4 linked regions of the Saccharomyces cerevisiae S288C genome follow. Changing the gene in region 1 together with any one later gene gives a genetic interaction. Each region holds a gene or a part of one and is shown in the gene's direction. Other genes may lie near its edges.

Region 1 (6,634 bases):
TGAATTTTGAAGTATCGTCATTATTCAACTGTAATAACTTCAATAAATTCTCTAATTTTTTCGCTTTATCCTCTTCTGACATTCTATAAATACGTTTACTACCGAAGCTCTATGACAACCAGAGCTATTGTACAGATCATTCTCTAAAAAGCGTGCAACACATATCATCTTCAATTATAGTGAATTACTTTTATCATGAGCAACGGCTGAAATTATTTTATCCTATTGTTTTATGACAGTATCCTTTCAAAAGAGTCGAAAGGATCCTCTGTTGCAAGAACTACTATTACGTAATTATACATAGTCCGCCTGCAATTTCTAGTGAGACTTTGCTTTGCTTTCCACTTTGCGATTAATATTGAGAATTTTAAACGTTAACTGAATTCTTACCCACCCATAATAAGAACTCTAACTGGCGAATTTATCATGAAACAAATCTGCAAGAATAAAAAATTAGAGAATCGTGCAATTCAATTTAATTGCCTTGTCCGTTGTAAAACTTTTCCATAGGCCCTACCTTGAGTTGATCATATGTATTATTCTATATATATTATATCCAGTCGGGTAATAAATTTTCTCGCCCTCGAAAAAAAGAAGTGAAAAATTTGTCTCGATGAGCTGAGATGAGTTTGAAAGAAGCAAAGAGTTTTAATTTGTAAACGATAGCAAGTGTACCCTCAGTTGAGTCTATTACGCCTTCCTTATTTGGAAACTTAGAAGACGAATAAAAAAAACAAAATAACTAATGATTTCTGCTACTAATTGGGTTCCAAGAGGGTTTTCCTCGGAATTTCCTGAAAAGTATGTTCTGGATGATGAGGAAGTGGAAAGAATTAACCAATTAGCACAGTTGAATTTGGATGATGCTAAAGCTACTTTGGAAGAAGCAGAAGGCGAATCAGGTGTTGAAGATGACGCCGCAACAGGTAGTTCTAATAAGTTGAAGGATCAGTTGGATATAGATGATGATTTGAAAGAATATAACCTGGAAGAATATGACGATGAGGAAATTGCAGATAATGAGGGTGGTAAAGACGTTTCCATGTTCCCGGGTTTAAGTAATGATAGCGATGTTAAATTCCATGAGGGTGAAAAAGGTGAAGATCCATATATTTCATTGCCTAATCAAGAGGATAGTCAAGAGGAGAAGCAGGAGTTACAAGTTTACCCATCCGATAATTTAGTTCTTGCTGCGAGAACAGAAGATGACGTTTCGTATTTGGATATCTACGTTTACGATGACGGTGCTGGGTTCCACAGTAGCGATATTCCCGTTGAAGAAGGTGATGAAGCTGACCCAGATGTTGCTCGTGGATTGGTTCGTGACCCTGCACTTTACGTTCACCATGATTTAATGTTGCCTGCTTTTCCACTATGTGTTGAGTGGCTTGACTACAAGGTTGGATCCAATTCCGAAGAAGCAGCCAATTATGCTGCCATTGGTACGTTTGATCCACAAATTGAAATTTGGAACTTGGACTGTGTTGACAAGGCCTTTCCCGATATGATTCTGGGTGAACCTCTTGATAATTCAATGGTGTCTTTGAAAAGCAAAAAGAAGAAGAAGAAGTCTAAGACTGGACACATTACTACTCATCATACCGATGCTGTTTTATCCATGGCACACAACAAATATTTCCGTTCCGTTTTAGCATCCACCTCTGCAGATCATACCGTAAAACTATGGGATTTGAACTCAGGTAACGCAGCCCGCTCCTTAGCTTCCATTCATTCAAACAAAAATGTTTCATCATCTGAATGGCACATGTTGAATGGTTCCATTCTTTTGACCGGTGGTTATGATTCTCGAGTAGCTTTAACAGATGTTAGAATTTCTGACGAAAGTCAAATGAGTAAATACTGGTCTGCCATGGCAGGTGAGGAAATAGAAACTGTTACATTTGCCAGTGAAAATATAATATTATGTGGTACTGATTCTGGTAATGTGTATTCTTTCGATATTAGAAACAATGAAAACCGTAAACCAGTTTGGACATTGAAGGCACACGATGCTGGTATCTCCACATTATGTTCAAACAAATTCATCCCTGGTATGATGAGTACAGGGGCCATGGGTGAAAAGACTGTCAAATTATGGAAATTCCCCTTGGATGATGCTACGAACACTAAGGGCCCAAGCATGGTTCTGTCTCGTGATTTCGATGTCGGAAATGTATTGACATCGTCATTCGCTCCAGACATCGAGGTAGCGGGTACCATGGTCATTGGTGGTGTCAATAAAGTTTTGAAACTATGGGACGTTTTTACCAATAGATCTGTACGTAAGAGCTTTAAAAGTGAACTAGAGAATGTTCAAGCAAGAGCAAAAGAAGAAGCCCAAAAAATAGGAAAAAGTTCAAGAATCGCCAGAAAATACACCAGTAACGATAACCCAGATACTGTTATAACCATTGATGATCAAGGTGAAGATGAAGAAGAAAGAGAAGGTGGAGATGAGCATGATGACATGGCATAATCTGGATATGAAAAATATTAAAGCAGAGTACATTGCAAGTACAAATAAAAAATCTATAGAAGATAATACTGTATACTAGTGTAAGAGGAGCCTCAGAAAAAAACAATATAATACATTAATATGTGCTGTTACGGTATAATTTAGCATATGATGACAATGTGGTGAATTACAGTTGTGTAACTTTTTTATATCACCCGGCATATATACGCTCGTAGAATGCGATGTGAAAATTTTCTTTTTTTTTTTTTTTCAAAGTGAAATTTTTTTGAGTGATGAGATGGGAAATGAAAAATTTTGTGCAATTGCGTAGTGTCTACAGTTTTTTAAGTAGTTATTAAAAGTGTTTTGGAAGGTATATTTCTAGGAGAAGAAGCGTGCAGAACAGTATTTAGTGAAAGATGGCTCCTATTGAATACCTACTGTTTGAAGAACCTACTGGTTACGCAGTTTTCAAGGTTAAGTTGCAACAAGATGACATTGGTTCAAGATTAAAAGAAGTTCAAGAGCAAATCAATGATTTTGGTGCTTTTACAAAGTTAATCGAACTTGTATCTTTCGCGCCATTCAAAGGTGCTGCTGAAGCCCTTGAAAATGCTAACGACATATCAGAAGGTTTAGTCTCTGAGAGTTTGAAAGCTATCTTGGATTTAAACTTACCAAAGGCTTCCTCGAAAAAGAAGAACATTACTTTGGCTATTTCCGATAAAAACTTAGGTCCTTCTATTAAGGAAGAATTTCCATATGTTGATTGTATTTCAAATGAACTTGCTCAGGATTTGATTCGTGGTGTCAGATTACATGGCGAAAAATTATTCAAAGGTCTACAATCTGGTGACTTAGAAAGAGCCCAATTAGGTTTAGGTCACGCTTACTCCAGAGCTAAAGTGAAGTTCTCTGTTCAAAAGAACGACAATCACATCATTCAAGCTATTGCTTTATTAGATCAATTAGATAAAGATATCAACACTTTTGCTATGAGAGTTAAAGAGTGGTATGGCTGGCATTTCCCCGAACTGGCTAAATTGGTACCAGACAACTACACTTTTGCCAAGTTGGTTCTTTTTATCAAGGACAAAGCTTCATTAAACGATGACTCCTTACATGATTTGGCTGCTCTTTTGAATGAGGATTCGGGAATTGCACAAAGAGTCATTGACAATGCCCGTATCTCCATGGGACAAGATATATCAGAAACCGATATGGAAAATGTTTGTGTTTTCGCTCAGAGAGTCGCTTCCTTAGCTGATTACAGAAGACAATTATACGATTACTTATGCGAAAAAATGCACACTGTTGCACCAAACTTATCAGAATTGATTGGTGAAGTGATTGGTGCTAGATTAATTTCTCACGCAGGTTCCCTAACTAATTTATCTAAGCAAGCAGCTTCAACGGTTCAAATTCTTGGTGCTGAAAAGGCTTTGTTCAGAGCTTTAAAAACTAAAGGTAACACTCCAAAATACGGTTTGATTTACCACAGTGGTTTTATTTCTAAGGCCTCTGCCAAGAACAAGGGTCGTATTTCTAGATACTTGGCTAACAAATGTTCTATGGCCTCTAGAATTGACAATTACTCTGAGGAACCATCTAATGTTTTTGGTTCCGTACTAAAGAAACAAGTTGAGCAAAGATTAGAATTCTACAACACTGGTAAGCCAACTTTGAAGAATGAATTAGCCATTCAAGAAGCCATGGAACTTTATAACAAAGATAAACCAGCTGCAGAAGTGGAAGAAACCAAGGAAAAGGAATCCTCAAAGAAGAGAAAATTAGAAGATGATGATGAAGAAAAGAAGGAAAAGAAAGAGAAAAAATCGAAGAAGGAAAAGAAAGAAAAGAAGGAAAAGAAGGACAAAAAGGAAAAGAAAGATAAAAAGGAAAAGAAGGATAAAAAGAAGAAAAGTAAGGATTAAAAGGAACAATGAATCGAAATAAAGTATATCCCATCTTTTTGTGTACTTTTCTTCCCTTTAAAGTTTTTCATATATATATATATTATCTTTTATTCCCTTCTAATATTCTTCTTTAGGATTTGGAAGCTGTATATTGTATATTTAGAAATATTATTAAATAAAAAAGTCATATGTTATTTTGAGCTTAAGTACCCTCTTATGCCTCTTTCACTCGCCATTACTGACATTCTGTGATCGCCATTCATATATATAGGCCTGATTGTGCACCAATTGCCGCGCTATCACACCTCCATAAGCGATAGCATTCTTCAGAATATCTTGAAGGCTCAAAACCAAGCCATTGACCGCACAAATCAACTAAAGAACCCATGTCAGACAACGAAAGTTTCTCAAATCCATTAGGCCCCTCACTAGGCGCTACAAGACATTTAAATTTCAGTCCCTTACTGGGACCGACAATCAATTGTGTTAGCACACTTCCTATGAATCCCGTTATAAATTCTGGTGGTTGTAGTGTACATTCATTTTCCGTCATTACCTTCATGCTGGCGATTTTATCAGAGGTGCCAATTACTATTATATCAGGGGAGAACTGGGCTAACTGTGATATGATAGATCTACTTATCATGTTACCAAAAATCGGCGATATACTAATGAAATTCTCCTCCATAGAAAATAATAACGTCTTTCCAAATGAATAAATCGGGAAAGAAAAACCATATACTGTTTCATCGGCGGTGTCATTTTTTTGATCAGGATCAACCTCGTTTGGAAAGTTTTCGTCGTAATTCCACGAGTGTTTACCTGAAGATTGGGGAAGACTTGGACTTTTCACCGTCAATGTAGTTTTAATTTCACCAATAGAGGTTAATTGAAGCAGATTTTTGGGGAATAATGGGTTCATTATCTTAGTAGTAATGACGGCTGTCGAATATTGAGGAACATCCAAGTCCTGAGGAAACTCAACTTTTGGAACCGGGCAGACTTCTAAAGATTGCAGGTTTTTTGAAATCTCTGGGAGATCTAGCAGATGTTTTGGTTCTGGTAAGTCATTCCATTGTTTAAACTTCAAAAAGAATCAAGTAACATAAGTTAGTCAAACCACTCTACTCTAGCAAAATATGATGGGGAAAAAAGATTATTGTAACATACAAGCATCGCTATAAATGAAAATTTTACTGTAGTGCGATGATATCTTGGTCGCTGTTTCTTATTATTTCGCCTGTTGCCACCTATTGCCACGCAACTTCTTAAATTGATTTCAATGAAGTCTGAAATTTTGATGCGAAAGAAAAAAAAAAGTAAAGGCAATAAAACTTCATCAAGTCAAACGTCATCTATAAATAATCCCACTTCAGAATTGAAAAAGACTACATTTGAGTGGAGGAACAAAAGCAAAAATGTCTGAATTAGGTGCCAAATATCAACAGTTGCAAAATGAGTTAGAAGAGTTTATTGTGGCCAGACAAAAATTAGAGACACAATTACAAGAAAACAAGATTGTAAATGAAGAGTTTGACCAATTAGAAGAAGATACACCTGTGTACAAATTGACAGGCAATGTCCTTTTACCAGTTGAACAAAGTGAGGCACGTACCAACGTGGACAAAAGATTAGAGTTCATCGAAACAGAAATTACAAGATGCGAAAAGAACATAAGGGACAAGCAGGAAGAACTAGAAAAGATGAGAAGCGAGCTAATTAAACTGAACAATACAGCAGCTTCCACTGGCCCAGGAAGGTAAAACAAACTCACAGGTCCTCGGAAAGACAAGAAAGCGCACAGTACCAATAAATCTGCCCAAAATAAAATTTTCTTTTATATACAATTATGTAACTTACAAACAAAATACCTACGCATTTCACTGTCCTAAACTTCAAATTGACATGTAAGATTGCTTAACCCCTAACTAATTGAGATTTGATTAAATTTACCGTAGACATTAACGTATACCAGGCAAACTCTTCAGTATTGTTATAGTACTCACCCAAACGCATGACCCTATGTAATTTATCCTTTGCAAAAGTAAACGTTTCTTTGTAATTGTGGGATTTATCCTGAGCCATAAATAACTTTGAACCAATGTAGGTGCTCGAAACAGCCAATCTCTTAGCATACCATGCAGAATCATGGTGGTCCTTTTCGTTGGAAAAGTAAATCATATCATCGGACAATCTGTGTAGTTCAGGAATTGCAGTTTCAAAGAGAAAGGCGCTTGGAATAGCCAATTGTGACATTAGTTCC
Region 2 (8,852 bases), on another chromosome or scaffold:
ACTATACTCATATGGAATCTATGAGGACAATTTTATCCACTACATTAAAAAAGGAAGATGTTAACGATGATATGATATATTTTTTACCAAAGCAGAATGCCATGTTTAAGACGTTTGATGGTATCGAAATCATTGGGTACAGGACATTGATTGAAGTTTGTGAATTTATCCGAGATTATAAAGACGGGAAAATCACCAAACTAAGCGTAATGGGATATTCGCAAGGCGGATTAGTGGCCCGATTTATGATCGGTAAGATGTTGACCGAATTTAAAGAACTGTTCGAGGATATTGAACCACAATTATTCATTACAATGGCAACGCCTCATTTGGGGGTAGAGTTTTACAATCCTACGGGCATAGCATATAAAAGTGCGTTATATAGTGCGCTGAGGACCTTGGGATCTACTATTTTAGGTAAAAGCGGGAGAGAAATGTTTATCGCAAATTCTAGTAACAATATATTGGTGAAATTGAGCCAGGGTGAGTACCTTGAAGCACTCTCGCTATTTAAATGGAGGATAGCGTTTGCGAATGTCAAAAATGACCGTACGGTAGCCTTCTATACGGCGTTTATTACGGATTGCGACCCATTTATAGATTTTGACAACAAATTGAAATATACATTCGAAGAAAAGATTCCGGGATCTGGCTATAAAGGAATATTGCCTAAGATTGTCGACCTAAACGCTTTAAACGTTAACAGCCATGCTCCTACTAAACCGACCAAGACTTATAAAAAGTGGGGACGCACTATTCTTATTATACTAGTTGCAACATTCTTAATTCTCCCAATAGCCCTGGTTATGAATGGCCTGGGAACCGCTTATAGTTATATTGTTACTTGCAAGTACCGCAAAATGCTCTCTAATGGCATTCTTCACAATGAGGTCAGAGGAAAATTAGGATTGACGGAGCAACTGAAAGGCTATGTTACAGATGCATACGGGTCCATCATAAATTCGGCTTTAGATATGGATGCGAACTATGAAGCAAGTAATAGTAATCTTGTAAACGAAGAAGAGCTTCCTTGGAAGGAATTTATCCAAAAATACACAACTATAAATGATGGTGTTTGGAAATCTAAATTTAAAAAACTGCCTTTTGATGAAAACCGAAAGGTTATTTTGAGAAATCTAAACAAATTGAAATGGATTAGAGTTCCAATATACATAAAGGCTGTAAATGCGCATGGCGTGATTGTGGCACGTAGAGGAATGGACGAGAATACAGCTGCTACTGGGATTGCTTGTATCGAATTTACGGCCCAATTACTAGCATACTTGATGCACAAGAGTAATTGAGCACTTGATTTACACGAAATAGTATATATTTTTGAATGAACACTCTCATGTGATTAAAATGTATTACTACCACTAATGCTTGAAGGGAATTGATAGACTCGTTTTATAGTGGGGGAAAAAGAAAAGAAGAGGATGGTACCCGAATAGTTACTGACAAAAATAAAGAACTCCTCATAGGGGGCTCGAACCCCTGACATTTCGGTATCCTTGCTTAAGCAAATGCGCTTAAAAGCCGAACGCTCTACCAACTGAGCTAACAAGGATGAGTTCTTCGGAGCGTCCTAAATAAAGATTTCTATAGATAGTGGGTATTTAACTTAGGTTATTTAAAGTAATTAACTACCGAAAAGGATACATTGCTAAACTATTTGATAAATGTTGAGGTATAATTTTTATAAAGGAAATAATTTTGGATAGAGTATGTTGGAATAGGAATCAAGTATTATTTATCGACTAGCATTCATATTATTAATATAGTATCATATGCGGCGTAAAAAGATAACCCTAAAGATGAGAAACAGTCATCAGATTTAATGGGAGCTGGATTGCAAGGATATATAATGTAATAATATAATGACTATTATCATAAAGAACAGAAGAAGAATATCAATATTATTAGAAAGAGATATGGATACTCTTTTGGTGGATTTCAATTCTCGAGGGGAACTTTCATATATTTTGTGTATCTAATATTATAGCCTTTAGCAACGGTAGAAGCCCAATAATAATCATTCATTACCTCATGGTAGAGCCTATGATTTGGTTACTTCTAGGGAAGCGTACACAAATCAAATTCGTCACACGTTTCCAATTTGCAAACCTCATATGATAAGGTTTCCAGCAACGCCAACTTTCAACGGATAATACACCTGTTTTATCAGCTGCTCCAGAGAATCATCATCATCGTATCTGCTCAATTACTGTCGTCACAGAATGGACCGTACTTATAGCGATATAATCACTCCGAATCAAGCCAAGCCATCTAGTTGGTCATTTTTAGGACGCCCGACTATAATGTCGTCGATGTATTTTCAATCAGATACTCAACCAACAATTTTATAGTATATATCACCATTGAGAAGCCCTTCACGTAGTTGAAACAGTATACTAACCCAACAATCTCGTATGTTTTTTGATACACCAATCACGTCTCGCAATTTTTCACCGCCACACATTCTGTGGGGGAAGAATACTTCTACTTGGACTAAATTCTACATCAAGTTTTGAAAAATTCCAACCCACAGGCAACATTCATTCTAATGAACAGGGTGAATTCTGCGACCACTATCGTACGAAGAGCATTCATATTTGTACAAAACATTTCAAACGTTTGTTCCGTTTCATTTGTTGCCAATTTGGTTCAAGAAAACTTTAGAAATCAATTGCAGCAATTTTCAAACTGTTCTCTATAAAGCATGAAGAATATTGAACCTTGAATATAATGGAAGAATATCTGCAGATTTATTTGAAGCAGTGAACACTCTGACCTACAGATTAAAGGAAGACGATATAAAGGTAATGACAGACTAACTTGGCAGTTTATCTAAAAAACTTTTCGGAGAATTCAGTTGCTTACGCCAGTAATACTGTGGTAGAAGAAATATTACTTGGTATTCAAGCCATCTACGAGGAAGGAAAATTTATAAAAAACACGAGTACAATAACACGAAGGGAATAAATAAAAATGTCATATGTTCATAACAAGTGCACAGATCGCCCTGCTGATTATGTTACGGATAACAAGATAGAATATCCTTTGGAGCTCGACAATTCTACATAGTATTATATTTTTCTCTTCTTCTTTTCTTTGTTCATTTCCATTGTCATATTTACGTATTTGCTGATGATTGTTGGCATTCCATAATATAGATAACATTATGATAATAATTTCGTCTAACAATCTGTATCATCTTATCAAACCATACATAGCAATATACTACTGATTTAAAACCAGCTAATACAAGATATTTGATCTCTATTTCAAACAAAGGATTTTAAATGTTCTTCAATATGGTCTTCTTTTTTCATTTATTTTTTTTGATTAATATTTTGTTGAAAAGTAAAAGTTTTGAGACATGCAACTTGTATTTCTCAGAAGTGAATAAAAATAAATATATGAGATTTAAGATAGAAAAAACAAATCATCTTTAAAAACTTTCTTTCCTAGTATAGCCACTTTTTATAGTTACAATTGTAAAGAACTGCCTATAAACAATAAGTCTGTCTGCCATATCTACGTTATTATTTAATTTCACTAAATAACCGCCCAGAAAATCGTACAGTGTGATTTTCTTTCGTCATCTAATATTTCCCAATGAGGTAAAAGGTAAATAAGCTTGAGAATCTTTAAGAGGAAACAAATACAAAAATATTATTAAAGTCGAATACCTGGTTTTTTCACAGAACAATAGCAAAGATACGAACAAACGGCTATTACCGAGAATAATTATTTTAAGGACTAATTAGAGCATTTTAATAGGCTATTTTTAATCATCAGATATAGCATTCTGGCATTAGAATTCAAAGGTTTCATTTTGGATTCACTACTTTTGATGTTGAAATGGAGACAGCAACTTCTTCCCCTTTGCCCATTAAATCGAGGAGAAACAGCGAAAATTCTGGGTCTACTACAGTTATACCGCATATGAACCCTTCTTTAGCAACACCGTTGACTGTGTCGACCATGGTAAATCAATCAAATTCTAAAGAGTTTATGAAGTTGACCCCAGTTCGTATTAGAGATTTTGGTTCTCCTTTGAAAAACGTGTCCACTAATTACCATTTTTTAGACTCAGAAAATGGTAAAGGTAACACAATGGATAATATGTATAGAGAAAATTTCATTCTTATTTCAAAGGATCTAGAGAAATTACTGGAGAATCTCAATGTCATATATCAAAATATTGGGTATTCTAATACGGAAATTATCACCAAGGAGAAAATCATATTCACCACTATATCTAATTCCATAAAACAATTTTTTGAGCAAGCTGACGAAGAATTGAAAAGACTGTCCGCAGAGAACGGAATTGAACAGGATATTCTAAATAACATTCTAGAGAGAATAAATGACCCAAGTGGCATAAAGACTATTCCTGACTTATACATTAGAAATGCTATTCTACTGCAAGAAAGTAAAACTGTGCCACAGTCACCGAAAAAGCCACTTTCCTTACTAAGCAAAAAAGCAGCATTAGATACAGCAAAAAAATTTGTCCTAGGAAGTTTTTTACCCAGGCTCCGCGACTATTTAAAATCCTTAATCACTCTAAAACACCTCATACAATCTGTAAAAGAAAACCTTCCTGGATTGACAGAAGCAGATAACGAGGCTATCGCCGAGTTTCCAGAATTAAGCACATTAACCGCATATTTGTTACAAATAGAAAATGGTAAAGGCGATATTGGTTTGTCCATGAAATTTATTATAGATAATAGAAAAGATATTTTAAAGGGATCGGCATTTAAAACTATTAACGAAGAATCTGTGAAACACATGAATGAAGTCATAAAAATTTACGAGGAAGAATACGAGAGGAGGTTTAAAAGCGTACTCACAAAAAAGGTTAGTATTTCATCAATATGTGAACAACTTGGAACTCCCCTAGCAACGTTAATCGGTGAAGATTTTGAACAAGATCTAAGATCATATGGAGAAGAGGAAAACTCCACATCAGAAATACCAAATTTCCACCCGGTAGACAGAGAAAGAATGTCTAAAATTGATATTACATTGGAAAAACTGCAAGCTATCCATAAGGAAAGAGCAGACAAAAAGAGGCTCCTGATGGAACAATGCCAAAAACTTTGGACAAGGCTAAAAATTTCTCAAGAATACATAAAGACTTTTATGCGTAACAATTCAAGTTTATCAACCGAGTCCTTAGGTAGAATCTCTAAAGAAGTTATGCGACTTGAAGCAATGAAAAAAAAACTAATAAAAAAACTTATATCAGATTCCTGGGACAAAATTCAGGAATTGTGGCGTACGTTACAGTATTCAGAAGAAAGTCGGTCTAAATTCATCATTGTATTTGAAGAACTAAGGAACAGTGCAACAACTTTACAGGAAGATGAGCTTCTTCTAGAAACTTGCGAAAATGAGCTAAAAAGACTAGAAGAAAAACTGACCCTTTATAAGCCAATTTTAAAATTAATATCAGATTTTGAATCTTTACAAGAAGATCAAGAATTTTTGGAAAGAAGTTCAAAAGACTCTTCACGGCTTTTGTCTAGAAATTCTCATAAGATATTACTAACTGAAGAAAAAATGAGGAAAAGGATAACAAGACACTTTCCTCGAGTCATCAATGATTTAAGAATTAAATTAGAAGAGGCCGATGGTCTATTTGATCAACCTTTTTTGTTCAAAGGTAAGCCACTTTCAGAAGCAATTGACATTCAGCAACAGGAAATCGAAGCAAAATATCCAAGATGTAGAGTTAGAATGCAGAGATCTAAAAAGGGAAAATGTGGTGCGAACAAAGAGAATAAAGTCATAAAAAACACTTTCAAGGCCACAGAAAGTTCCATCAGGGTACCGATTGGTTTGAATTTAAATGATGCCAACATTACTTATAAAACGCCTTCAAAGAAAACAATACAAGGCTTAACAAAGAATGATCTATCCCAAGAGAACTCGCTTGCTCGTCATATGCAAGGAACAACGAAGTTATCTAGTCCGAACAGAAGAGCAACAAGATTACTAGCACCCACAGTAATATCTAGGAATTCCAAAGGGAATATAGAGAGACCTACCTTAAACAGAAACAGATCATCCGATCTTTCATCATCGCCTAGGATAAATCATACGCATGGCGAACATGCAGTAAAACCACGCCAATTGTTTCCTATCCCGCTGAACAAAGTCGACACTAAGGGTAGTCATATCCCTCAATTAACTAAAGAAAAGGCTTTAGAACTTCTTAAAAGGTCGACTGGCACCACGGGTAAGGAGAATGTACGAAGCCCGGAACGCAAAAGCTCATTAGAAGATTACGCACAAAAATTGAGCAGTCCTTATAAAGAACCTGAGCACAGCATATATAAACTTTCCATGTCGCCAGAAGGTAAATTTCAATTAAACATTCAACAAAAAGATATTGAAAGCGGATTTGATGATACCAGTATGATGGAAGATGAAAATGATAAGGATTTTATTACATGGAAAAATGAGCAAGTTTCGAAATTGAATGGATTCTCCTTTACAGATATTTGAATTTCTTAAAAGCGCATTCATTTAACCCTCTGATCTCTTATTTATTTTTTTTGTGGTTTTTTTTTTCACATCACTTTCTAGCCTTCGCTACATTGTCTCTTTCTTTCCTTCTTTTATTCTATCATTCTCCCTTTCCTTTTTCCATTGCACCGTGACTCTGGATTAATATGGACATAATAAAATTTGTAATATTCAATATAATCATGTAAGCATTCCAAGTAAATACGCAGGTTGGCTAGTCTAAATCGAAAATGTAACATTACTACCATACTATATATCTACATATTGTAATTGTGTAGGTATATACTAATCATTTACCAATGTTTAGGTTCCATGCCTTCTGGTGGTGAAGTTTTAACCGTTCCCTTAGATACGTCTTCCCAGTCTGTACTCAATGCAGTACCATTACTTTCTATAAAGGATTTCATCATAGCCCTTTTGGTATCTGGATCCGCTCCAGCGTAAAGCTTTTGAAAGAAACTATCAGCCGATCCCGCTTCTTCATCAGCTTCTTCATCAATGTCAAGTTTAGACCAATCTATTTTTTTTTTAGAGGACGATGGATAAGACAATCTCTCTTTTGATGCCGTTTCTGCTGATAATAAGCGGGTTGCAGAATCAGAATTTTTACCCTCATCTGATAACCTTGAGGATTCCGTTAAAATATCTTCTTCCAACTTCTTCCATTGCGTGCTATCAATTTTGCTCAAGGTAATTTCCAGCTTTTTTGGGAAAATTTTTAATGACACTGCTTTTGGATCCACCTCATGCGAAAGCTTAGCGTTGTATTGAAATTCAGATCCAGATTTCGGTACTTGGTACGATATCGATAAAGTTCTTCTATCGTTTGGAGAAATATATATATTGACTTGTTCCTTAGACTCAGGAAGATTAACAGTAAATAATGATATAGTGACAGAGGTGCTGGATTGATACCAATCGATTTTAAATTTAGGGGATTCTTGAGGAGCGGTTTCAATTTTGAGAGGTGAAATGGGACTATGAGAAGAATTATTATCTCCTCTGTTTTCAATACTTTCCACTGGTTTAATTGTATGCTTATTAGTTGAATCCTTCTGCTTTTTATTTTTTTTATTCAATTTTGTCTCCAGACGATCTTCCCATAAAGGCAAAGTGTCATCAACGTAACCAAGATTCTTGGCTTTTTTAAAATAAGATTGGGCCAGTTCATAATCTTTGATATTGAAGAAATGAACAAAATAACGAAAGTTAACAAGACCAATCTTCGATCTATCGCCCCTACCCTCAGCTGTCATTAGAGCCTTGTCAAGAAGTTCCTTTGCGTTTTCCATAGTTGCATCGCTGTGCCAATCAGAAAACCCAAAGTATAGCTTTTCAAGACATGCTGCCTTAAAAATGAGAGCCGTTAAATTTGTGGGTGAGCCTTTGAGAATTTCATCATAAAGATGGAGGGCCTTCAGTGGTTCCTTCTCATCATACAAAGCTTTGTAGGCAGTTTTTAAATCTTTTTCAACAGGCATTTCTTTTTCGTTTCCTTAAAACAACTACCTCTTTAACCTTAAAAGACTTCTGCCATTACTTTGTCATAGTGCTTTCGTTCAATTATTAGCGTTCAAAGATATATCGCATATGATCAACTCATCTTGAGACCTTACACCCTAAAGTGCTTATATTGGCTTCGTTTATAGTGATCAAAGTCATCAATATAGTGCTCGTCAGTGTAAGACTGAGAAGATCATTCTTAAAAGAATTAGCAGATGATGCATAAGCACTATGGCGGTATTATCTACTATCATTTCTCTTGTATCTGTGCTGAGCCTGGTTCTATTGAAGAAGAATTCAAAATTTGAATGTCTCAATAGAAAAACCCGGACATTCCATAATGCAAGATCAAAATTTTTCGATGAGCTTTGTTTTGCATTGGCAAATTTTTACCTGCTAAGAAGAAGTCTACATGGAGAAACAGCACCATTATCTCAAGTATGTTCTTAACATAGAGGTCGTTCAGTCAGCGCTAGATAAATCTCATCGGCGATCATAGTTCAGTATTTTTCTAAAGTTTCTTTAAAGGAGCATAATATGACCGAAAACCAAACCGCACATGTAAGGGCGTTGATATTGGATGCCACCCCATTAATTACGCAGTCCTACACACATTACCAGAATTATGCACAGTCTTTTTATACTACTCCCACAGTTTTTCAAGAAATTAAGGATGCTCAAGCAAGGAAAAACCTTGAAATTTGGCAGAGCCTCGGAACTTTGAAATTAGTACATCCAAGTGAAAACTCGATAGCCAAAGTAAGTACGTTCGCCAAATTGACCGGTGACTACTCCGTACTGAGTGC
Region 3 (6,825 bases), on another chromosome or scaffold:
TTGGAGAATGCACCAGCAGGATACTATAGTTCCCATGATAACGACGTTAATGGCGTTGCAGAAGATGAACGTCCATCTCATGATTCGTTGGGCAAGATTTACACTGGAGGTGATAACAATGAATATATCTATATTGGGCGTCAAAAGTTTTTGAAGAGCGACTTATACCAAGCCTTTGGTGGTACCTTGAATCCAGGGTTAGCTCCTGCTCCAGTGCACAAATTTGCTAATCCTGCGCCCTTAGGTCTTTCAGCCTTCGCGTTGACGACATTTGTGCTGTCCATGTTCAATGCGAGAGCGCAAGGGATCACTGTTCCTAATGTTGTCGTCGGTTGTGCTATGTTTTATGGTGGTTTGGTGCAATTGATTGCTGGTATTTGGGAGATAGCTTTGGAAAATACTTTTGGTGGTACCGCATTATGTTCTTACGGTGGGTTTTGGTTGAGTTTCGCTGCAATTTACATTCCTTGGTTTGGTATCTTGGAAGCTTACGAAGACAATGAATCTGATTTGAATAATGCTTTAGGATTTTATTTGTTGGGGTGGGCCATCTTTACGTTTGGTTTAACCGTTTGTACCATGAAATCCACTGTTATGTTCTTTTTGTTGTTCTTCTTACTAGCATTAACTTTCCTACTGTTGTCTATTGGTCACTTTGCTAATAGACTTGGTGTCACAAGAGCTGGTGGTGTCCTGGGAGTTGTTGTTGCTTTCATTGCTTGGTACAACGCATATGCAGGTGTTGCTACAAAGCAGAATTCATATGTACTGGCTCGTCCATTCCCATTACCATCTACTGAAAGGGTAATCTTTTAAGAGCACGACCTACTAATAACGAGAACTATTGAAATAAAAAAGAGTAGTTTTTTATTTTTCAATTTTTTAATATGATAATTATTTTATGACTTATATAACCACACCAACTAATCGTACTTTTATATGTTTAAATAGAATGGCTGTTTCAGTCGTACACTATTAATAACATTATGTTACTTCGCAATTAAATGTTTTTCAAAGCTAAAACTTCAAAACAAGATATAAACAATGTACAAAAATGATTACGAAAATATAGATGATGTAAGCAAGGTACGGTTATAAACAGTTAACATATAAGTTTACTTCACTTTTTTGCTGACTCCTTTACTTGTCTTCCCTGCACTTTGATTTTACTTCAGAAAAAATAAGATATATGTTTCTGATAAAACTTTTAGGTTAGCGGAGAAGATGTTGCCACGAATATCATGTAATTGAAAGGCAACGAAAGGTCTATCGTTTGCCATTCATAATGTGATTCGACTTGTCTTTTTCATTGTAACAGACATGAAACGTTTCCTTTACGTCCCTATGAATTTTTGTTGGCTGAACTGGGCGCTGCAGGGGCTGGACGATCCAAATGCGCGGATTTTGAACAATTATGAGAATCCGAATTAAAAGAAAGGGAAAACAAATTTAATAACAGGCAGACGTGAGAGAAGAAAAGGAAACGCTGTGATATAGAAAACTATACAAATCCTATTATAAGAAGCCAGAAGAAAGCTGATACAAGATGAGTTGGGAAGGTTTTAAGAAAGCTATCAACAGAGCTGGTCACAGTGTGATAATTAAGAATGTCGACAAGACCATTGATAAAGAGTATGACATGGAAGAACGTCGTTATAAAGTTCTTCAAAGAGCAGGTGAGGCATTACAAAAGGAAGCCAAAGGTTTCTTGGACTCATTGAGAGCTGTGACAGCATCACAGACTACCATTGCCGAGGTCATCTCTAACCTCTATGACGATTCAAAATATGTTGCTGGTGGTGGTTACAACGTTGGTAACTATTATTTGCAATGTGTTCAAGATTTTGATAGCGAAACTGTTAAGCAATTAGACGGGCCCTTAAGAGAAACCGTACTAGATCCAATAACAAAGTTTTCGACGTATTTCAAAGAAATTGAGGAGGCCATAAAAAAGAGAGACCATAAGAAACAAGACTTCGATGCTGCGAAGGCAAAAGTTCGTAGATTAGTGGACAAACCTGCTAAAGATGCCTCTAAACTGCCAAGGGCTGAAAAAGAATTGAGCTTAGCTAAAGATATTTTCGAAAATCTTAATAACCAATTGAAAACTGAACTACCACAGTTAGTTTCATTAAGAGTACCTTACTTTGACCCAAGTTTTGAAGCTTTAATCAAGATTCAGCTAAGGTTCTGTACTGATGGTTACACTCGTTTAGCGCAGATTCAACAATATTTGGACCAACAATCAAGAGACGACTATGCCAATGGGTTATTAGACACTAAAATCGAAGAACTATTAGGACAAATGACAAGCCTAGATATTTGTGCGCTCGGGATAAAATAAATTAATGCTTTTGCCTTTAGTTTTTTACGGTCATTTATGTTTCTTTCATTTAAATTAACAGACCTAAATAGCACTATAATTTACTATCTGCTCTATCTGACCAACCGACTCTTTTTAAGAAAGCAATTAAAAAGCGATAATAACCGCGGGCATGTGTTTTTGTTAACATGAACACAATAAACGTAAGAATGTCTAGCAATAAATTCAAAATTATTATCTTTTTTTTTTTTATTGTTATGTACTATTTTTTTTTTTAAATAAGGTTACAATTCTTTTTTAATTAATGGGATTTACCAATTTGAACGTGATCCGTAATCAGCCAAACGGGATATAAAAGTAGAACAATAGAAGCGAGGAATAAGATACGAATGCCGGATAACAAAGCATTCCTTAGTGTACTAGATTAAGTAAAAAATACCGAATTGTTCCAAAATATCGTGATATTTGAAAGTGAAGTACTCGTTTATTTCAATGCGCGCCCATTATGGCAGCATTTTATCTCCCTTCCCCATTCACTGTTCAAAATTTGTTTCCCGTTAATTCTTCTGTACGGAACGGGATCTAACATCGAATATATAACATTCCTACACCTGGCTCTTTTTAAACTTTCGATTGGCTCATAGCCTCCCTTTTCCTTACGTCCTTTTAAATAATTCATATAAAATGGATCGTCTTTTTCAGCAGAACTCCACAATTGTCTACCAGTTCTCATTGCCATATAAATGACACCACATGCCCATATATCTACGGGTCTTGGATCAAACTCTTCTTTGATATATTCCTCTGGGGCGATGTACGGCGATGAACCGCAAACGCCTCCACTAAGGTGAATATTTTTTTCCCATGCCATCTTGAAACATTCGCTGTTACCAAAGTCTGTAATTTTTAGCACACCATCGTGCGTAAGCAGTAAGTTCTCAGGCTTCAAATCTCTATGACAAACACCCATTTCATGCATATAAACAACACCTCTAATAAGCTGCTTGAAGAAACAATCTGCTTCCATATATTCTAATTTTCCGGCGGCAACGACCAAAGTGAATAGATCGCCACCTGCACAATATTCCATTACTTCACAGTACTCGCCTTTGGCATCTTGGAAAAGATCTAGTGTAGTAACAATATTTGTATGGTGTAATGAAGAAGAAATGCAAAATTCAGAAGTCAACCTCTTAGAATACTTTTCTGCTGATTCGGATGTTCTACGCTTGAACTCTTTCACTGCATAAAGCTTTTCACTTTTATTACCATCTTGAGAAGAAACATTTTTCTTTTGACATATTCTTACTACACCAAAAGCACCTTTACCAAGGACTTCTTGACAGCGACCATACTTTTCGGCAAAACATTGCCTATCTTTTTTAGTAGTAGTGATATTATGCGTATTATTTTTGGAATCTTTTTGATCTGACCTGTATATATCCCTTTCAGGACAATTTAAAGCGCCACTTGTGGGAGCGCCTTCTGGATATTTATCATCCATATCCACGACCTGCTTCATGAAGCCTGCAAAAAGAGTAGGAGGATTCTTGTTGGATTTTAAAGTCGTCTTTGGATCCATTATTATATCAGGGACAGCAGATTTTGCCTCACCACGTAATTTGCTCGCACCAACCATGTTTTTAATCATTGTGCTTAGCTTTTCTTGTCTCTTAGCATTTTTTAAGTGATGTTCATGGGTACCATCTTTATGCACAAGAAACCTCCCACAAATAGGTGCACTTGTATTGGTTATCTTATTTACATTATTAATATTTGAAGCAGTGGGAGTAGGCGCGGGTGTAATAGCAGTATTGCTGTTACTATGATGAGAGAACTTTGGGCTCAAACTTTTGGAGCTAATATTTATGGCTGATGTGGGTGATAAGGATAAAGCTGATACTGACGAAGTTAAAGAAGCAGCTGATGATGACTTAGAGGTGTTAATATCAATATGGTTGTTTAATGATGCGGATGAACTAGAGTGCGATGGTGATGCCGACTGGTAATATTCGGGCATATACATGCCCGGTTTACTCACACCTGCAGTATTAGAAGGATTAGAAACTACCCTAGGAGTAGCAGTGGTTGGGGTATGTAAACCAAATTTGGCTGATTTAGACGCCGATGGAACGTTTGTGTTTATATTAGAAGGTGGCTGGATATTCGATGAGGCCTTTCCCTGCCTAGATGATCTTGAACCGCTTCTAAAAAGTTGCATAACTTTAGAAGATAGCGCATGTTTCCTTGGAGTTTGCTGAGGAATAGCGGCATTATTATCATTCATACCAGTCATATATTTGAGGGGTAATGTCGAAATAAAATAAAATCTGATTACTTTTTTTTTGATTACAGGGAATAGTAGTCACAATACTTACTACTAGTTAATATCTAGCGGTAAATGGAGAGTAAAAAAAGGTTGAGAGCCTAATATTAGAAAGCTACCTTAAGCTTTCCAGTTTTTATTTGTAACTTAAAAACGCTTAAAGGCTTAGTACAACTTATTGAACAGGACTTTGAAAGTCCAAATTTTATTCGATAATGTTAAAGTGAATAACAACAACCCAGCAATAACAACAACAACAACAACACAACAGGTTATAACGAAACCGACAGGAAATCGTCAAAAAAAAAAAATGATAAAAAATTCTTAAAATCGAAACTCCAAGTAAAGGTCTATATTAGGGTTTAATAAACTTTTGCTAAAAAAAATTGCCGAATATCTCTATAAAGTAGTATATTTTCTTCTCCGTTTCCTCTTCCCTCTTTAAAAGCTGTAATATTATATATACTATTTGTATAGCGGAAAATGCGTGAGATGGCAAGAGCTCGGCCTGTTAACATATTAGCACGGGGAGGCCGATGTTGATTTGATGAAATGACGTGCCAGGTGATTTTTCCATTCGCCATGCCGGGGGTTGAGAAAAAATTTTTTCTCCGTCGGAGATAAAAAAAAAAAAAGAAAAGAAAAATTAACGACCCCAGTGAGGGTTGAACTCACGATCTTGCGATTAACAGTCGCACGCCTTAACCAACTTGGCCATGGAGTCATTTTATCTTGTGTCACTTTTACAGAAAAAGTATTACTAATATATGTTGAAAATTTTCCAACTACCCTTCGAGTATGATTTTACAACTGCGTCAAAGAAACCATGCAAAACAGTTGACTAATATCGCAACTGTTTTTTTTTCTCATTGCCTTTGAAAGAATGGAACACTCCTCACCACGAGGTTCTAAAAACTATACCAACCACAGTTTGGACGTACATCTGAAGATGGCATCCAATAGCAGCGGTATTCATTTGTGCGGGCTGGATTGAAAAAAGCATCACAATTATTGGGGCGTTTATTGTAGTCTTTGAACCGAGATAATCCAGGTGTTAAATATTGGTTGGATATGCATGCAAAATTTTCAGCAAAAACGATGGAAGCAGAACAAACAGTGCTTATCTTTGCTTCTGCTCTTGTGTAAGTCTAAAGGACAATATCTTTGTTATTAAGCACTCTAGCTGCCCACTGTATAAACAGAACTTTTGACAAAAAGTCTAGCCAGCGATGATATAATTTGCCTGCACAAAGAGTTTACTATTAGTAGCACAACTAAGTCATCGAAACGCTTTTAGTGGACAGATCTAAAGTTACAAATATTTAGGTATGCGTAAAAGGGTAATTAACCTAGTATCAAATGAGTCGAAGCCCCGACCGCGCCCAGAAGAAAAGCCATTATCATTTAGGTGACGCCTTGTTCTAAGGCTTAGTTAATAATATTCCTTTCAACCAAACAATGACCTTCCAAGGTGTTCAGTAAGTGGCTCTCATTTTAAGTTAGTTGGGTATTATACGCCTTGTATCCGGGGCTATGCTTAGGTTAAATAAGAATACTGCTTGAATAGCTCAAGTTTACAAAATAATTTAAAAAGAGTTTATGAACTTCAATAAAACTTCGAACCTGAAAATGTAAGTCTGTGTTCTGTTTATATACACCAGTCGGTTGTCTATACCATATCAAGACAAGAAACAAAACTCCGTATCTGCATGCAGCCTCATTTAGACAACAACAGTAATAATGACGATGTCAAATTGGATACATTAGGGGAACAAAATGTGTTATCATCCGCAGAAAATATCACTTTACCTGAAGACACCTTTAAATCATATATGACCTACTTGCTGTACGAGATGGCTCATTACAAACCGATGATATTTTCCTTCTTGGCACTTTCAGTTTCAATTTTAATAGTTGTGATCTTTCATAATGTTAAAGCTTGTGATGTCGTTTTTGGTTTTTCAATTTTCGTCACTTCTATTTTGTTTTTGTCTACGTTGATTCCGTTTAATGTGTATATCTCGGATGAGGGTTTCAGAATTAAGCTTTTGCTGGAAGTTATCACCCACAGGCCAGCGGTAAAGGGAAAAGAATGGAGAGCAATCACAGACAATATGAATCAATATTTACTTGATAATGGTTTATGGAGTACTCGCTATTACTTTTATAGTAGTGA
Region 4 (9,414 bases), on another chromosome or scaffold:
AATCTTTTCGTGTTCAATCAGCTTGGCCAACTCAACACGAAATTCTTCAAAATTAGTGGCAAAAGAGGCCGCATTGGCCAACTGCATGGCATATGGCTCCCATGTGGCCAAAAGCATCGATCCGTCTGGTTCCACGATCTTGACCCCGTTGTCCTGGTATGGGTTGTGCGACGCCGTGATCATCACCCCCACATACTGACCCTGAAGCTTCAGCGACCTGAGAACCGCCAGTATACCAGTACTGAACATCACCGTATCCAAATTCTTGGCCAGCGTTCTGAATCCGGCCGTACCGTAACTGAACTGCACATTCTTTGTGCGGCACGTGTCATCGTAGAGTTTGCACAATTGCTCGTAATCAACCTTCATCGTCTCTAAGCTTACTGCTGACCTTTGCCTTGGTCCTTGTACTTGTCTCGATTGCTGAAACCATTAACGGTTTTTTGTTCTTACTTAATCTTTTTTTTCCCGACGACGCAAAATGTCAGAAAAGATATAAATAGAGCAACGTTTCCTGCTACATGAAACACGCTGGCATATAGAAGAACTTCAACGAGCGAGGCTCTCTGAACAATCTGCTAATCGTGCAAGTAAGGGTTCTCGTGACAGTTCACCGTGTATAAACAGATAAACAGATAAACAGTCAGATATGCTTAATTTTTAACTGTAGGCTGTGCCGACATGCCATTTTATGCGGCTCACTTCTAACAAAAGTGACCATGACGCACAAGCAAGCAAACAGCCAAGTAAGGAAGCAGACAGCTTCACAGCACACACACACCGTTGTGTACGAAAATCCTCTGCAGAAGAGTGTATATGCCACTCATCCACACTTCCGCAGCGCAGTACGTAATGCGGTATCGTGAAAGCGAAAAAAAAACTAACAGTAGATAAGACAGATAGACAGATAGAGATGGACGAGAAACAGGGGGGGAGAAAAGGGGAAAAGAGAAGGAAAGAAAGACTCATCTATCGCAGATAAGACAATCAACCCTCATGGCGCCTCCAACCACCATCCGCACTAGGGACCAAGCGCTCGCACCGTTAGCAACGCTTGACTCACAAACCAACTGCCGGCTGAAAGAGCTTGTGCAATGGGAGTGCCAATTCAAAGGAGCCGAATACGTCTGCTCGCCTTTTAAGAGGCTTTTTGAACACTGCATTGCACCCGACAAATCAGCCACTAACTACGAGGTCACGGACACATATACCAATAGTTAAAAATTACATATACTCTATATAGCACAGTAGTGTGATAAATAAAAAATTTTGCCAAGACTTTTTTAAACTGCACCCGACAGATCAGGTCTGTGCCTACTATGCACTTATGCCCGGGGTCCCGGGAGGAGAAAAAACGAGGGCTGGGAAATGTCCGTGGACTTTAAACGCTCCGGGTTAGCAGAGTAGCAGGGCTTTCGGCTTTGGAAATTTAGGTGACTTGTTGAAAAAGCAAAATTTGGGCTCAGTAATGCCACTGCAGTGGCTTATCACGCCAGGACTGCGGGAGTGGCGGGGGCAAACACACCCGCGATAAAGAGCGCGATGAATATAAAAGGGGGCCAATGTTACGTCCCGTTATATTGGAGTTCTTCCCATACAAACTTAAGAGTCCAATTAGCTTCATCGCCAATAAAAAAACAAACTAAACCTAATTCTAACAAGCAAAGATGAAGTTAGAAAATACTCTATTTACACTCGGTGCCCTAGGGAGCATCTCTGCTGCTTTGGTCATCCCAAATCTTGAAAATGCCGCCGACCACCACGAACTGATTAACAAGGAAGATCACCACGAGAGACCCAGAAAAGTGGAATTCACTAAGGACGATGATGAGGAGCCATCTGACTCTGAAGATAAAGAACATGGAAAGTTCCATAAGAAGGGCCGCAAGGGCCAAGACAAGGAGTCTCCGGAATTCAACGGTAAACGTGCAAGTGGCTCTCATGGGAGCGCCCACGAGGGAGGAAAGGGCATGAAGCCTAAGCATGAAAGTTCCAATGATGATGATAATGATGATAAGAAGAAGAAGCCTCACCATAAGGGTGGCTGCCACGAAAATAAGGTGGAGGAGAAGAAGATGAAAGGTAAGAAAGTCAAGGGCAAGAAGCACCACGAAAAGACGTTGGAGAAAGGGAGGCACCACAACAGGCTGGCTCCTCTCGTGTCCACTGCACAATTCAACCCAGACGCGATCTCCAAGATCATCCCCAACCGCTACATTATAGTCTTCAAGAGAGGTGCCCCTCAAGAAGAGATCGATTTCCACAAGGAAAACGTCCAGCAGGCACAACTTCAATCCGTAGAGAACTTATCTGCCGAAGACGCTTTCTTCATTTCTACTAAAGACACCTCCTTGTCCACCTCTGAGGCTGGCGGTATCCAGGACTCATTCAACATCGATAATCTTTTCTCCGGTTACATCGGTTACTTCACCCAAGAGATTGTCGACTTGATACGTCAAAACCCATTAGTAGACTTTGTTGAGAGAGACTCTATTGTCGAGGCTACAGAATTTGACACTCAAAATAGCGCCCCATGGGGGTTGGCCCGTATTTCCCACAGAGAGCGCCTCAACCTGGGGTCCTTCAACAAGTATCTCTACGATGATGATGCCGGTCGCGGTGTCACGTCCTATGTTATTGACACGGGTGTCAACATCAACCACAAGGACTTCGAAAAGAGAGCCATTTGGGGGAAAACCATCCCACTTAACGACGAAGATCTCGACGGTAACGGCCACGGTACCCACTGTGCCGGTACTATCGCTTCCAAACACTACGGTGTCGCTAAAAATGCCAACGTTGTTGCGGTGAAAGTCTTGAGATCAAACGGGTCTGGTACCATGTCTGATGTCGTCAAAGGTGTCGAATATGCCGCAAAGGCGCACCAAAAAGAAGCCCAAGAAAAGAAAAAGGGGTTCAAAGGTTCCACAGCCAATATGTCGCTTGGTGGTGGCAAGTCCCCAGCTTTGGACTTGGCTGTTAATGCAGCCGTTGAAGTCGGTATTCACTTTGCCGTGGCTGCTGGTAACGAAAACCAAGACGCTTGTAATACCTCCCCAGCTTCTGCTGACAAGGCCATCACCGTCGGAGCTTCCACGTTGAGCGATGACAGAGCCTACTTTTCCAACTGGGGTAAGTGTGTCGACGTTTTCGCCCCAGGTTTAAACATTTTGTCCACCTACATTGGAAGTGATGACGCCACCGCCACTTTATCGGGTACCTCAATGGCTTCCCCTCACGTTGCTGGTTTGTTGACCTACTTTTTGTCTTTGCAACCAGGTTCTGATAGTGAATTTTTCGAATTGGGCCAGGATTCTTTGACTCCTCAGCAATTGAAAAAGAAGCTAATTCATTACAGTACAAAGGACATTTTGTTCGATATCCCTGAAGACACTCCAAATGTTTTAATCTACAACGGTGGTGGTCAAGATTTGTCCGCTTTCTGGAATGATACCAAAAAGTCCCATTCATCTGGTTTCAAGCAAGAATTGAACATGGATGAATTCATTGGATCAAAGACCGATTTAATCTTTGATCAAGTGAGAGATATTCTTGATAAATTGAATATTATTTAATTCTTCATTTAGAAAAATTTCAGCTGCTTTTTTTTTTCTTTTTCTTTCCTTAGGCGTCTCGAGGTTACAAGTCGGAGTCCCTCTTCACTATCGTTTGTCCACTTTTTTTATATCCCCATTATTTTCAATCTGAATTTCATTTTTTTTTTTTAATTCATGAAATTTATATGTCCCACGTATTACTACATATTTGCGTTTTTAATTAAATAAATAACTGTTACTTTTATTATATCTTATTTGCAGATCACTTATCTGATCAAATGTTTTCGTTTTCGTGTGTGGTGACGATGTATTAGGTACGCGAAATAAACAAAACAAACAAACAAGGCCGCAACAATAACATCATCTAAAGACTTCCTTTGTGACCCGCTTCTCAACAGCGGGTGTAGAACTTATGGTATGGCCAGAAAGTAACGTTGAGTATAGATACAGAAGCAAGCAATTCAAAGGAAAAAGTAATAAAAAGTATATAAAAGCGCAAAAAATACAACAAGAAAGAATTTGTTTGATGCCAGCGGAAAACCAAAATACGGGTCAAGATAGAAGCTCCAACAGCATCAGTAAAAATGGCAACTCTCAGGTTGGATGTCACACTGTTCCTAATGAGGAACTGAACATCACTGTAGCTGTGCGATGCAGAGGAAGGAATGAAAGGGAAATTAGTATGAAAAGCTCCGTTGTGGTAAATGTTCCAGATATTACAGGTTCTAAAGAAATTTCCATTAACACGACGGGAGATACCGGTATAACTGCTCAAATGAATGCCAAGAGATACACAGTGGACAAAGTCTTCGGTCCCGGCGCTTCCCAGGATCTAATTTTTGATGAAGTGGCGGGCCCATTATTCCAGGATTTCATTAAAGGTTACAATTGCACCGTACTGGTATATGGTATGACGTCAACAGGTAAAACATATACAATGACGGGCGACGAAAAGTTATATAATGGTGAATTGAGCGATGCAGCAGGAATTATACCGAGGGTTCTTTTGAAGTTGTTTGACACATTGGAACTACAACAGAACGATTACGTAGTAAAATGTTCGTTCATTGAACTCTACAACGAAGAATTGAAGGACCTCTTGGACAGCAATAGCAACGGCTCTAGTAATACTGGCTTTGACGGCCAATTTATGAAAAAATTGAGGATTTTTGATTCAAGCACAGCAAATAATACCACTAGCAACAGTGCTAGTAGTTCCAGGAGTAATTCTAGGAACAGTTCTCCGAGGTCATTAAATGATCTAACACCTAAAGCTGCTCTATTAAGAAAAAGGTTAAGGACAAAATCACTGCCGAATACCATCAAGCAACAGTATCAACAACAACAGGCAGTGAATTCCAGGAACAACTCTTCCTCTAACTCTGGCTCTACCACTAATAATGCTTCTAGTAACACCAACACAAATAACGGTCAAAGAAGTTCGATGGCTCCAAATGACCAAACTAATGGTATATACATCCAGAATTTGCAAGAATTTCACATAACAAATGCTATGGAGGGGCTAAACCTATTACAAAAAGGCTTAAAGCATAGGCAAGTAGCGTCCACTAAAATGAACGATTTTTCCAGTAGATCTCATACCATTTTTACAATCACTTTGTATAAGAAGCATCAGGATGAACTATTTAGAATTTCCAAAATGAATCTTGTGGATTTAGCTGGTTCAGAAAACATCAACAGATCCGGAGCATTAAATCAACGTGCCAAAGAAGCTGGTTCAATCAACCAAAGTCTATTGACGCTGGGCAGGGTCATAAACGCACTCGTAGATAAAAGCGGCCATATACCTTTCCGTGAATCGAAATTGACCCGCCTGCTTCAAGATTCCCTGGGTGGTAATACGAAAACCGCACTAATTGCTACTATATCGCCTGCAAAGGTAACTTCTGAAGAAACCTGCAGTACATTAGAGTATGCTTCGAAGGCTAAAAACATTAAGAACAAGCCGCAACTGGGTTCATTTATAATGAAGGATATTTTGGTTAAAAATATAACTATGGAATTAGCAAAGATTAAATCCGATTTACTCTCTACAAAGTCCAAAGAAGGAATATATATGAGCCAAGATCACTACAAAAATTTGAACAGTGATTTAGAAAGTTATAAAAATGAAGTTCAAGAATGTAAAAGAGAAATTGAAAGTTTGACATCGAAAAATGCATTGCTAGTAAAAGATAAATTGAAGTCAAAAGAAACTATTCAATCTCAAAATTGCCAAATAGAATCATTGAAAACTACCATAGATCATTTAAGGGCACAACTAGATAAACAGCATAAAACTGAAATTGAAATATCCGATTTTAATAACAAACTACAGAAGTTGACTGAGGTAATGCAAATGGCCCTACATGATTACAAAAAAAGAGAACTTGACCTTAATCAAAAGTTTGAAATGCATATTACTAAAGAAATTAAAAAATTGAAATCTACACTGTTTTTACAATTAAACACTATGCAACAGGAAAGTATTCTTCAAGAGACTAATATCCAACCAAATCTTGATATGATCAAAAATGAAGTACTGACTCTTATGAGAACCATGCAAGAAAAAGCTGAACTAATGTACAAAGACTGTGTGAAGAAAATTTTAAACGAATCTCCTAAATTCTTCAATGTTGTTATTGAGAAAATCGACATAATAAGAGTAGATTTCCAAAAATTTTATAAAAATATAGCCGAGAATCTTTCTGATATTAGCGAAGAAAATAACAACATGAAACAGTACTTAAAAAACCATTTTTTCAAGAATAACCATCAAGAATTACTGAATCGTCATGTGGATTCTACTTATGAAAATATTGAGAAGAGAACAAACGAGTTTGTTGAGAACTTTAAAAAGGTCCTAAATGACCACCTTGACGAAAATAAAAAACTAATAATGCAGAATCTGACAACTGCAACCAGCGCGGTTATTGATCAAGAAATGGATCTGTTTGAACCCAAGCGCGTTAAATGGGAAAATTCATTTGATCTGATAAATGATTGTGACTCCATGAATAACGAATTCTATAATAGCATGGCAGCGACGCTATCGCAAATCAAGAGTACTGTTGATACATCATCAAATTCGATGAATGAGTCTATTTCAGTCATGAAAGGACAAGTGGAAGAATCGGAGAACGCTATATCCCTTTTGAAGAACAATACCAAATTTAATGATCAATTTGAGCAGCTTATTAACAAGCATAACATGTTGAAAGATAACATTAAAAATTCGATAACATCAACACACTCTCATATAACTAATGTGGATGATATCTATAATACGATTGAAAACATAATGAAAAACTATGGTAACAAGGAAAACGCTACCAAAGACGAAATGATCGAGAACATATTGAAGGAAATACCAAATCTAAGTAAGAAAATGCCGTTAAGGTTATCAAACATAAATAGCAATTCAGTGCAAAGTGTAATATCGCCCAAAAAGCATGCAATTGAAGATGAAAACAAATCCAGTGAAAATGTGGACAATGAGGGCTCGAGAAAAATGTTAAAGATTGAATAGTTGATATTGCCTTTCAGTCGAATATATATTCAAACTAGTGGTTAATAAAAACAAAGTATGTAAAGAATACTCAGTTATTCATTAGAAGGCAAGACAGAAGAGAAGGGTGTGAAACCACCTCTACCAAACACACCAAGAGATGAACCTAAATCAAATTTTCACAGAGCTAACTATATAAACGTTTGGATTCGTGTGTACTATCTTTATTTACGGAAATAAGTTGTAATATTAAAAAAAAAAAAAAACATTTTGATGGACAATGAATTTCTCTAATTTTAACTCAGCTATTAATTACCTTAAATTCTCCTAATTCGTTTAGGTAGCTTTCGACTTCTAATTTAGGCTTGCTCAGTAAAACGCAAATTTTATCAAATGTTTCGGCATTCCTAATAGACTCTTCAAGAATACCTTCTTCTTCGTCGCTGAGTTTCGGCATAGTACTTTTGCCTGTTGCCAACGAACTTACCCTTTGCATTTCAAATGAAACCTTTGATGGTCTTTCTGGTTTCAAGTTGCCGGATTGTGCCGTATTTCTAGACCCTGTGGCTGAAAGCAAATGATTGTGATTTCTTTTTTCAAGTAACTTATCATTATTCACTAAATCTTTTGTTATTATTGGTGTCATTTCTTTTGGTTCACGTGAACCTGCATTTATCATTACAGGAAAAGAGTAGCACCTGTAAATGATACGTTTTTCCAGGCCAAACGTTATGAACCTTCTTATATCAATGTTATTTTCTTTTAAAATCATATATTTCGACTCATACCATGTTTTCAGCGTTTGACCTTGTGAAAGTGACCTATAAAGGTCAAATAGGCATGATCTTGTTGGTAGGAATCGGTTACGATTGTTGATGACATGAATATTTGAACTCGAGCAGGAGGTTTGTGATTGCCTCCAGTCTTTATAAATTGATGAAAAAGAGGAATTTAAGGAGGAGTTTTGAGAAACTCTACTGGTAGAACTAAAAGATGTAGTTCTAGAATCCGGGTTTGACGGTATGCTAGATGATTTGGATTTTCTTCGTACAGAAAATGATGGTGAGTCTTGGTCACCTGAACCCAGACTTTTGTTTAAGGGCAAGTTCGATATTTTAGACACTTCTGGGAACGTAACATAAGATTGACAGTCACTAGCCATTAGTGGATCAGTCAAAAAATTCCTAATTAATGAAGAAGGAGCGTATATGTTAGAAAATTGGAAAATATCTGATAATGTAACACACTTATAGTATATTAAGTGACGTATGCACTCTATCACTAGGCCAGGATCACTGTTGCTTAGTTTAGAAATTTTGGCAATGCTGTTTAAGCCATCAATGTAAGGGACTATACTCATCATGGTTGGATCCCAGTTGACATCAATAATCTTCTTCAAATTTACAGACGACAGGGGCACATCTTCTAATGAGACACAAGTTGTCGGTGGTCTCAACAGCGGAAAAATCTTTATGTCTACTGCATTTCCCTCATCAATTGGTATGAGGCATTCGGAATAGTTATTCAGGTCTTGGAAAATTCTCATCAATAAATCTTGTATGGAAAATGCGGATTGCGGAAGGCCCAAATCCTTGATAAGGTCACTGTATCTGCTGCTTCTCATATCCTTTGTATCCTTTTCGGATGTAGGATGAGTTGGTGTGGTGTTACTACTAGGATTTGGCGTGGATGAAGGACCTGCAGTGGAGGGTGTTGTTGTGGAGTTTTCCAACACCTTCAAATCGAAGAAAACTGGATCTCTTTCCGATTTGGATAGCAATTGATTTTGTTCTTCAAGAACTTTGAACATTTTGCCCAGCCTAGTAATAGCTGGTTCGTAGGGAGACGTCTCACAATCATATGGGAATACAAATACAAAATTAAAACTAAAAAAATTCCTAGCATATATTGGAGAATTGATTGTCACAGGATAACATACAATCCTATATGTACCATACTTAAAAGTGATCAACTTGTGGCATAATATAGGCTTCGGTATGATGTAGTTTTTAAATGTGTTGAAATTAATACCATGATTTTTCAAATTATTTGGCGGAAACTCGTATTTAATCTTAGAACCTTCTGTAGGATGGAACACGGAGTAAAATATTGTGTGTATGGGCACAAACCCTTGGAAATAGCTTAGCATTTGCCGTTGGCCTGATGATCTGACCATTCCCTTTAGTAGAGAAAGAAAGTCGCTTCAAGCTAACCCAGTTTTCTTTTTTTTTATCACTTATCAGTCCTATTCGGAGATACAGGCAACAAGTGATAGAGGGCCCATTATGAATACGCACCTCTATGTATTTCCGAGATACGATTACTCCAGTTCCTCTTACAAGAAATGCA

What was found.
Region 2: mutations in YKE2 (region 1) and ASE1 together harm fitness more than expected from each alone (negative genetic interaction), as found in Saccharomyces cerevisiae (5 studies listed by BioGRID, with this or other methods).
Region 3: mutations in YKE2 (region 1) and RVS161 together harm fitness more than expected from each alone (negative genetic interaction), as found in Saccharomyces cerevisiae (7 studies listed by BioGRID, with this or other methods).
Region 4: mutations in YKE2 (region 1) and CIN8 together harm fitness more than expected from each alone (negative genetic interaction), as found in Saccharomyces cerevisiae (5 studies listed by BioGRID, with this or other methods).

Annotation. Positions count from the first base shown.
Region 1 is NC_001144.5:543,223-549,856, forward strand, and holds YKE2 (tubulin-binding prefolding complex subunit YKE2), read left to right. Parts: upstream 1-5,789; coding exon 5,790-6,134; downstream 6,135-6,634. Other genes in the region: glycylpeptide N-tetradecanoyltransferase NMT1, read right to left, coding at 1-82; rRNA-processing protein PWP1, read left to right, coding at 746-2,476; snoRNP complex protein NOP56, read left to right, coding at 2,875-4,389; PBA1 (Pba1p), read right to left, coding at 4,631-5,455, 5,542-5,547; ubiquinone biosynthesis protein COQ9, read right to left, coding at 6,289-6,634. UniProt on the Saccharomyces cerevisiae protein: Binds specifically to cytosolic chaperonin (c-CPN) and transfers target proteins to it. Binds to nascent polypeptide chain and promotes folding in an environment in which there are many competing pathways for nonnative proteins.
Region 2 is NC_001147.6:431,358-440,209, reverse strand, and holds ASE1 (Ase1p), read left to right. Parts: upstream 1-3,864; coding exon 3,865-6,522; downstream 6,523-8,852. Other genes in the region: LPL1 (putative hydrolase), read left to right, coding at 1-1,304; co-chaperone SGT1, read right to left, coding at 6,837-8,024; NOB1 (rRNA-binding endoribonuclease), read left to right, coding at 8,584-8,852. UniProt on the Saccharomyces cerevisiae protein: Required for anaphase spindle elongation.
Region 3 is NC_001135.5:126,264-133,088, reverse strand, and holds RVS161 (amphiphysin-like protein RVS161), read left to right. Parts: upstream 1-1,546; coding exon 1,547-2,344; downstream 2,345-6,825. Other genes in the region: ADY2 (Ady2p), read left to right, coding at 1-816; serine/threonine protein kinase SAT4, read right to left, coding at 2,808-4,619; DFP3 (DUP240 family protein), read left to right, coding at 6,359-6,825. UniProt on the Saccharomyces cerevisiae protein: Component of a cytoskeletal structure that is required for the formation of endocytic vesicles at the plasma membrane level.
Region 4 is NC_001137.3:34,207-43,620, reverse strand, and holds CIN8 (kinesin motor protein CIN8), read left to right. Parts: upstream 1-4,083; coding exon 4,084-7,086; downstream 7,087-9,414. Other genes in the region: phosphoacetylglucosamine mutase PCM1, read right to left, coding at 1-369; HHY1 (Hhy1p), read right to left, coding at 661-969; SOM1 (Som1p), read left to right, coding at 997-1,221; PRB1 (proteinase B), read left to right, coding at 1,668-3,575; nitrogen permease regulating protein NPR2, read right to left, coding at 7,367-9,214. UniProt on the Saccharomyces cerevisiae protein: Elongates the mitotic spindle by interacting with spindle microtubules to generate an outward force pushing spindle poles apart.